Schizosaccharomyces pombe: one gene and its partner. The protein of the gene in region 2 interacts with the protein of the main gene of each other region in a biochemical or structural test. Each region holds a gene or a part of one and is shown on either strand. Other genes may lie near its edges.

Evidence for each region. The genes of interacting proteins can lie anywhere in the genome.
Region 1: the proteins of rpb4 (region 2) and seb1 form a complex in vitro, tested with the Schizosaccharomyces pombe proteins (one study listed by BioGRID).

Annotation. Positions count from the first base shown.
Region 1 is NC_003424.3:958,261-962,741, reverse strand, and holds seb1 (poly(A)site selection protein Seb1), read right to left. Parts: upstream 2,858-4,481; 5' UTR 2,682-2,857; coding exon 2,325-2,681; intron 2,135-2,324; coding exon 629-2,134; 3' UTR 515-628; downstream 1-514. Other genes in the region: two-component GAP Byr4, read left to right, coding at 1-305; sno1 (glutamine aminotransferase subunit), read left to right, coding at 4,392-4,481. UniProt on the Schizosaccharomyces pombe protein: Involved in the processing of pol II transcripts.
Region 2 is NC_003423.3:1,053,941-1,057,053, reverse strand, and holds rpb4 (DNA-directed RNA polymerase II complex subunit Rpb4), read right to left. Parts: upstream 1,546-3,113; 5' UTR 1,393-1,545; coding exon 1,341-1,392; intron 1,303-1,340; coding exon 1,197-1,302; intron 1,152-1,196; coding exon 1,074-1,151; intron 1,000-1,073; coding exon 828-999; 3' UTR 552-827; downstream 1-551. Other genes in the region: ubiquinone biosynthesis protein Coq7, read left to right, coding at 1-429; Gtr1/RagA G protein Gtr1, read left to right, coding at 2,350-3,113. UniProt on the Schizosaccharomyces pombe protein: DNA-dependent RNA polymerase catalyzes the transcription of DNA into RNA using the four ribonucleoside triphosphates as substrates. Component of RNA polymerase II which synthesizes mRNA precursors and many functional non-coding RNAs.

The DNA of each region.
Region 1 (4,481 bases), on a different chromosome or scaffold from region 2:
TTGATAATTCGATTTCTGGTCAAGAAGCGGAAGATCCCTTTAGCGGGTTTGATGATCTTGAGGATACAGACTCCACCTCGCAGTACTTGAACGAAAATTCAGGTAGCTTTAATGGTAGCATAAACTCAATAATCAATTTTCCAGATATGAGTGAAATATACGATGTCGGCCCAGAGTTTGAAAAAAAGCAATTTAGCGAAGATATTCAATGGCGAAAGAGAATTGATGGCTGGTTTTTTTCATTTAAAAACGATGACAGGTCACGACTATGGGAGCTTTATAATATACTTAATGCCGAACAATAAACAAGGTTTTGTCTTTACCTTGCGAATGTTTATATATAATTATACGAATGCTTTTGTTTATCGCAGATTTGATCTTTTTGTACATAGCTTAATACACTTCGAAGATTTTTCATTTTGTTTGCAAATAGATGTATAAGATGTACAACAATGATACAAATGTAATACTAATGTGACACCCAGACAAACTAGATTGTTTGAACAAGACAATACAAAGAAAATAATCAATTAAATTTGGACCGAATACATTATACCCTTAAATACCGTCTGTAATATAGAAACCATTTTTGCCATCATTATAATACTTGTAAGCGTCTTTTAACACATTATTGGGGTTGCCAAGGAGGTTGTGAGACATACCCAGAAGAGTAATTAGGATCCATATATGGATAGCCGGGATTATATGGGTTGGTAGGGGGAGGAACGGTACTAGGATTACCATGCCAGTCATTTCCTGAATCAAAATGCCTTTCACCATGGTGAATGGGTGGACCTCCCCTATATGGTTTACGACCCCGGAATCGCTCATCACGACGCATAGCAAAATCTTTTCCTCTTTTACTAATTGCCTTAGAACTTATTCCTAATCCAATTTCAATATCAGGTTCATCCAAAGCGATACCAGGAGTAATCGGAAGGCCACCCGTGCCGCCATATTCTGCAGTTACAAGCCAGGTACGATCGGCATCCGTCAACAAACGGATTGGGATAACGCTGATTCCTGTGGAAAAGTCAGAGCACTCTCGAGGTCCAAATCCTACACCCCATTTAGTACGAATAGTAGTATCAGCAAAAGGGACATTTTCCATCGCTACTTGAGCTTTCTCTGCAGCATCACGACGAAACATTTTCAAGAACCCGTGTCTGTAATTATGATTTAAAATTAAACTTTGTACAGACCCAAATCGTTCAAACATAGATCGAAGAACAGGTTCTCGCACAGAACGAGTAATACCACCAAGGAAAAGAGTACGGCTGTATACCTTAATAGAATCAGGTGGAATGGTTGGGTCACGCTCAAATCGGCGAGGAAATCCATCAGGGGTAGGTTTTGGCACACCATCTGCAGGAGGCAAAGTAGAAGGAATGGATAAATGAGAAGGACTAGGGCTACGACGAGGGCGACCACTACGAGGACTAGGGCTACGAGAACGATGTAAGGAGCCGAGTCTTAAGGATTGGGAAGAGGTAGGAGCTGGCAAAGGAACACTGCCGACACCAGCCGGCTGGAATGGAGCGTTATAGTTGGGAAAAGCAGCTTTCATGATGCTATCGATTTGTGCAGGTGGTACATTCTGAGAAGCCAATACATTCATGAGAGTGATCTGTTGACTCTGGGTATCATTGACCGATCCTGTCTTCATCCCCATGGGACCAGAGGGAATAGACTGTGGTACATTTGAAGGTTGGAATAGAGGGTTTGATAATGGATTGCCTGACTGAGACTGTGCATTAATGGCGGTAGCTGGATGAACAGGTAGGTTAGGGACGACAGCAGAAACGGATGGTGCGACGGCAGGCTGCGGTGGAGTGCTAACTGATTCTTCGGCAGCACTAGGGACGGGCGCCTTTTGAGCGAAAGCAGCCAATGCCTCTAGAATAGAAGCAGCATCGTTTTCGACAGGACGAGAAGTGGGGGCGGCTGCTTGACTACCAACAGAACCACCATTCCCCTCGGGATTAGTAGACTGTGATGGAGCAGCAGCAGAATCTACACTAACCGGTTCCGTACTTGCCATTGCATCTTTCAGCTTTGAACGAAGCGATTCTAGCTTCTCGGGAGGAAATGTTGAAGCCTTCTCCCAAATATCACAAAGCTTTAATATTTTAGGCTACATGCTTAGTTAGTTACAAATTAGTCCAATAATGTTAAAAGACTTCTCAAAGAGAATGATACTGTATTACAAGGAAAAAATACCTCTCTCATACAGTGTCTCGCTGATACAGAAGCAGAGAGAGCATACGATTATCCATACGGGATCTTATCCGTAGTCAACCTTGAAAAACTTCAGCTACACATACCAAATGAGCAGATGGCGCATGCTGTATAGCATCTGCGACCAAACTATCAGTTATTTCAGCAGCTTTGCACCAGCCGCCACTAAAAGACGCATCAACGGGATTTTCAAAAGATTCATTATTCTTTTTAGCACCGTCCTGAAAGCTACGAACGATTGAGTCTAGAATATACAAAGCTCCTAATTTATGGGTGACGGGAGCACGCTTCGCATACTTATACACACTAGCAACAAATTGCGCATTCTCTGAAACATTTTCCATCGACAAGTTAGTCAATTTCAAAATTTTTGATCCCGAGATTCCTGTCTTGGAATGTTCAAGGGAATCTAAAATACCATCGAATTCAGCGATTCCCGACATATCACAAGAAAAACGACAATGAAAAAAAAAAAAAACTTTTCAAAACTAGAAAACTACCCTGTTTCCTTTATAAGAATTTTACTACTTTTTTTCTTATATTAGTTTTTTACACGTGCTTGAAAGACGTTAAAAAAGGAAGTCACCCTGTTCTTAAATACTTTTTGTGTTATGGTTACGGTTAAGTGGTGAAGTAGGTGATGCTGGTTATAAAGCTGGTATTACGGAAGGGTAAGGAAAGTGCTTAAAGAGATGCTAAAAATTTCCAAAGTTTCACACTTTGTAAAAAAAAATATATATCATATTGTTTTAAAAAATGTATGAAAATTTTTAGTGTAAAAAAAAATAATAATAATGAGTAGCGTTTTTGTTAATTTCATGCCCATGATCCTTCTGGTAACAAGTTTGTCAGCCTCGACCACAAAATTGGGACTGCGAAGTAATCTCAGGGTTCGGGTTTATTTATGAGATTTACTATATATACAGGTACTCGTGCATTTGGTTCGGTATTCTCTCTTTGCCTTTTGGCTTAGATCAAGTGTAGTATCTGTTCTTTTCAGTTTAATCGCTGAAATCACCTCACTGAGGTGTTTCCGATTAATCTTGTTTTTGGTTTGAGTTGGAAAGCCTCTGGCTTGCTATGCTTTCCGACACTGGTGTTCTTGCTATTGCACTACTGGCAAGCGACGCCGAATCTTCTTCTGTTGACAGATTTGTGACGCATGAATTTGACAACATTGGATGGTTTAGGATGTGAGGTTTGAAAATATTTAACTTCGTACATTGATAGTGTGTGGTGAAGATAATATTGTTATCGTTGAAAGTAAGCAGTTTATTTAAATTTTTTCAGTTGCTAAACCCACTGAAAGAGAGGTTGAAGACTTGCTGATGCTATGCGTATTGAACTTTTAACACAGTGGGAAAGGTAATTAAATAATTTTATCTTTAAAATTCAGTAAGTAGTTATTAGTGGTTGGGGGTTTTGAGAATAAAAGTGAGGTAAGTAGTTAATGCTGTAAGCAATTGTGAACTGTAGAGTTGTGTTGACATTAGCATTTTTTTTCATTAATGCTTGATGATATCCTAATTTGTGGATAATATAGAAAGCATTTGACTGTTTTATGGTAGTCTAGATAGTCAATTTTTAGTGAAATGACTGAAGTCAAAGCATGTGATATACTGTATCGCATTTGATTTTGTAAACTGAGTCTAGCAATGTGCAAGGTCTCCTTTGTTATGCTTATGAAGATGGGTGTACCAAATGATATTGCTTATTAAGGAGCGTAATCATTTGCGATATGATTCAAGGTTGCTCCACCAATTCTATCTTTATTGCCATCTTTGATTCTGGCGATAATTTTTCGCTTCCACATTGCCAGACTTATATAATGACCCCCGGTATGTCTGATTGGGTTATTATCCTATAGCCACCACCGCCTTAATGAACTGAGACACATTGTATACTACTTAAAGTGGATCTCTTAGTTACGTTTGATTTAATTTTTTTAAGGTATAAACATAGACAACACAATCCTTTAATACCCATCTTCAACGGTTTGAGTGATTCATTGCTGATTAGTAAGGGGTGTATCAATCTTCATCAGCATCTACTTGTTCAATAGGTTTCAGGATATCTTTCGTTTGTTTTTCTTAGTTCTTTCAAACTTTCTTTGTTTTTTTATTCGTTTCTAGTCGATTAAAAACTTTAAAAAAATGTCTTCTGCATCCATGTTCGGGAGTCTTAAAACCAATGCTGTGGACGAATCCCAGTTGAAGGCTAGAATTGGAGTTTTAGCTCTCCAA
Region 2 (3,113 bases):
GTCGCACCTACCATTCAGCATATGTGGGATCAAGAAAAGTACCATCTCGCAACATTTGATAATTATGTCTTAAAGAATAGAGTCCGTCCTACCTTTTTACGTCCTTTCTGGGACATCGCTGGATTTGCGTTGGGAGCAGGAACTGCTTTGCTTGGAACCAAAGCAGCTATGGCTTGTACAGAGGCAGTAGAAACGGTAATTGGCGGACACTATAACGACCAACTACGTGAAACGGCTCATTTGGAAAATAAAGCTCCAGAATTTAAAGAGATTCGTAGCCATTTGGCAGAGTTTCGAGATGACGAGCTAGAGCATTTGAACACTGCAGTCGAAGGTTGGAACGCAAAGGAAGCTCCAGCTCATGCATTGCTTACCAATGCCATTCAAATGGGTTGCAAAGCGGCTATCTGGATGTGTAAACGATTTTAAATACTTCAAGTTTTCCTGCCTCAAACTCAACTTGCTAGTCCTTTATGAAGCAAAGAACGCCCATTTGATTCAAAATGTTTAGTTTTTCTTGCTTCACAATAGTATGATCCTTGTTAAAACTTACTTAATCTAATTAATACATTTTATCTAAATTCCTTTTCGCGTGTATTCAGTGTTTGTATTATATTTTTTTAATAGACTAATTAAGAAGTGTATGGTGCATAAAAAAACATAGATTTTGTTAAAAAAAGTTTTATGACCCCTCATAAATTATGGAATAATAATGACAAAAACGTCGTATTATAAATCCTGATATAGCTAATAGTTTATAAGACCGGAAACCTTTTAAGTTTTCATAATTGACAATAAACAGACTTGCCTGAGATCTATTTATTGCATTAATCTTGAAATTTACGCAAAGTGGAAAGCTCATCCAAGATGCCTTGAAGATTTTGGTCATCAATTTTATTCGCGAGACTAGGAATCAAGGTCCTAGCCTCTTCAGCGTCTTCGCAGCAGAGTGTTCCCAATTGTGCACGTTCAAATTTATGGAATCGATTACCAAGAATTCTATGAGGTTAGTCAAATATTTGCATACGGCTATTTTCCTCTAAAATTCTATTCAATTCTTTGAAATTATGTACCTTTCACATGCATAAGTGGCTTCAGCCGTTTTAAACCGAGCAAAAACATTGAAGTAAGCTACTGTTTTTTTCATCACACTATCCTAGTTAATTAAAAAAGAATATGCATACAATAAGACATACTCAGTCATTGGAATCTCACCATTAGTTTCGCGTGCTCGTTGTGCCAGAACTGTTTCAATAAGGATTTTGGCCTCTGAAACCGTCAACATATCCTCATTCTCAAACTCTTTTTATATTAGCAACAGAATAAAATTCAAATCCAACCTGGACCAAGTTTTAATTGTGCAGCATCTTCCTCAAAAATAGCCCTCGGCATTATGAATAGATGCTCGCAAACACTCTCTTCAGAATGTTGTTTTTTCTTTTTATCTAATTAAATCAATAACTATTATACAAATGTATTCCCAAAAATAATGTCAGAATGCTCTTTATGCACAACAACCAGCTTTCTTGCTGTTGCTTCGTGTCTAAAAATCGCGTCCTTGATTGCAGCATTTCTATAGCCGCTGCTAATAATAACGATATTTTATATTTATCTTAAAACTAAATAACGATTGTTCTTAATAACATTATGAATTTACCGAGATGTACGGAGATGTCTAAGAAAAATTTATTTTATTGATATTTCTTAATCATTTGTCTAGCTTAACGACGCCAGGGTTTTGGAGTATTTTCTCGTTAAAACCAAAGAGCTTTCTATTAAAATTATTCTCAAGTCTTTGCTTTAGAGACTTCGTATAGCTAAACGTTAATGCGCCTTAAAAACCTCAGATATGAGGATTCTTCTACTAATTTCGTTATATTCATTTGAAAATACGTTACATTCTTTTAAAGGGGTTATTTCTATTTTTACTGTGCTTAATTCTGAGATGAACCATTCGTTCTTGATTTATATGTTTGTTTTTTATAAATTTGTAAATTTATTTTTATTTTAATTTTAATTCTCACAATTTGACTTTGAATTTGATTTTTAATATGTAGGTTAAGGAAAACAGACTTCGTAACTTTACGATGTAATCGACTGAAGTGCATGTCGTTGTACCACTAATCAACTTAAACTTTTCTGTCTGCGGGATATTATAGAATCTTTTCGCATTCCTTTACCTACATTTCTCCCTTTCTTATTTTTTTACTTTTTCTTTGCTTGTGATTTTAAAAAAGAACGCATAAAAACACGAATTCACTCACAATTGCAGTGACAGCTGTTTTGTAGAATTTTATAAACTAATTGCTTTACCCTTAATCTCAAGATAGTTCTGTTATTCTAGAAAAAATGAGAAAAAAAGTCCTGTTAATGGGCCGCAGTGGCAGCGGCAAAAGTTCAATGAGAAGCATAGTTTTTAGCAATTATGTTGCCAAGGACACGAGAAGGCTAGGTGCTACAATTGATATTGAACATTCGCATGTAAGGTTCTTGGGAAATTTAGTTTTGAACCTATGGGATTGCGGTGGACAGGAGGCGTTCATGGAAAACTATTTATCTGCCCAGCGTGATCACATATTCAGAAACGTTCAAGTACTTATCTATGTTTTCGATGTTGAGTCAAGAGAATTTGAAAGAGATTTAGTAACTTTTCGTAATTGTCTAGAAGCAACAGTGGCCAATAGTCCCCAAGCTCGTGTATTTTGTTTAATACACAAGATGGATTTAGTTCAGGAAGATCTACGTGATTTAGTTTTTGAGGAACGTAAGGCAATTTTGTTAGAAACAAGTAAGGATCTTGAAACCACTTGTTTAGCTACTTCTATTTGGGATGAAACATTATTCAAAGCATGGTCTGCTATTGTCTATACTTTGATTCCTAATACGCCTACTTTGGAATCGCATCTCCGGGAATTTGCCAAAGCTGCTGAGGCTGCTGAGGTAATATTATTTGAAAGAACAACATTTTTGGTTATTTCTTCTTATTCTTCTGAGTCCAATCCTGCCACTGATGCTCACAGGTTCGAAAAAATTAGCAATATTGTTAAGCAATTTAAACTCAGTTGTAGCAAAATGCAAGCTCAATTTACTACTTTTGAGCTTCGTGGTGGTAA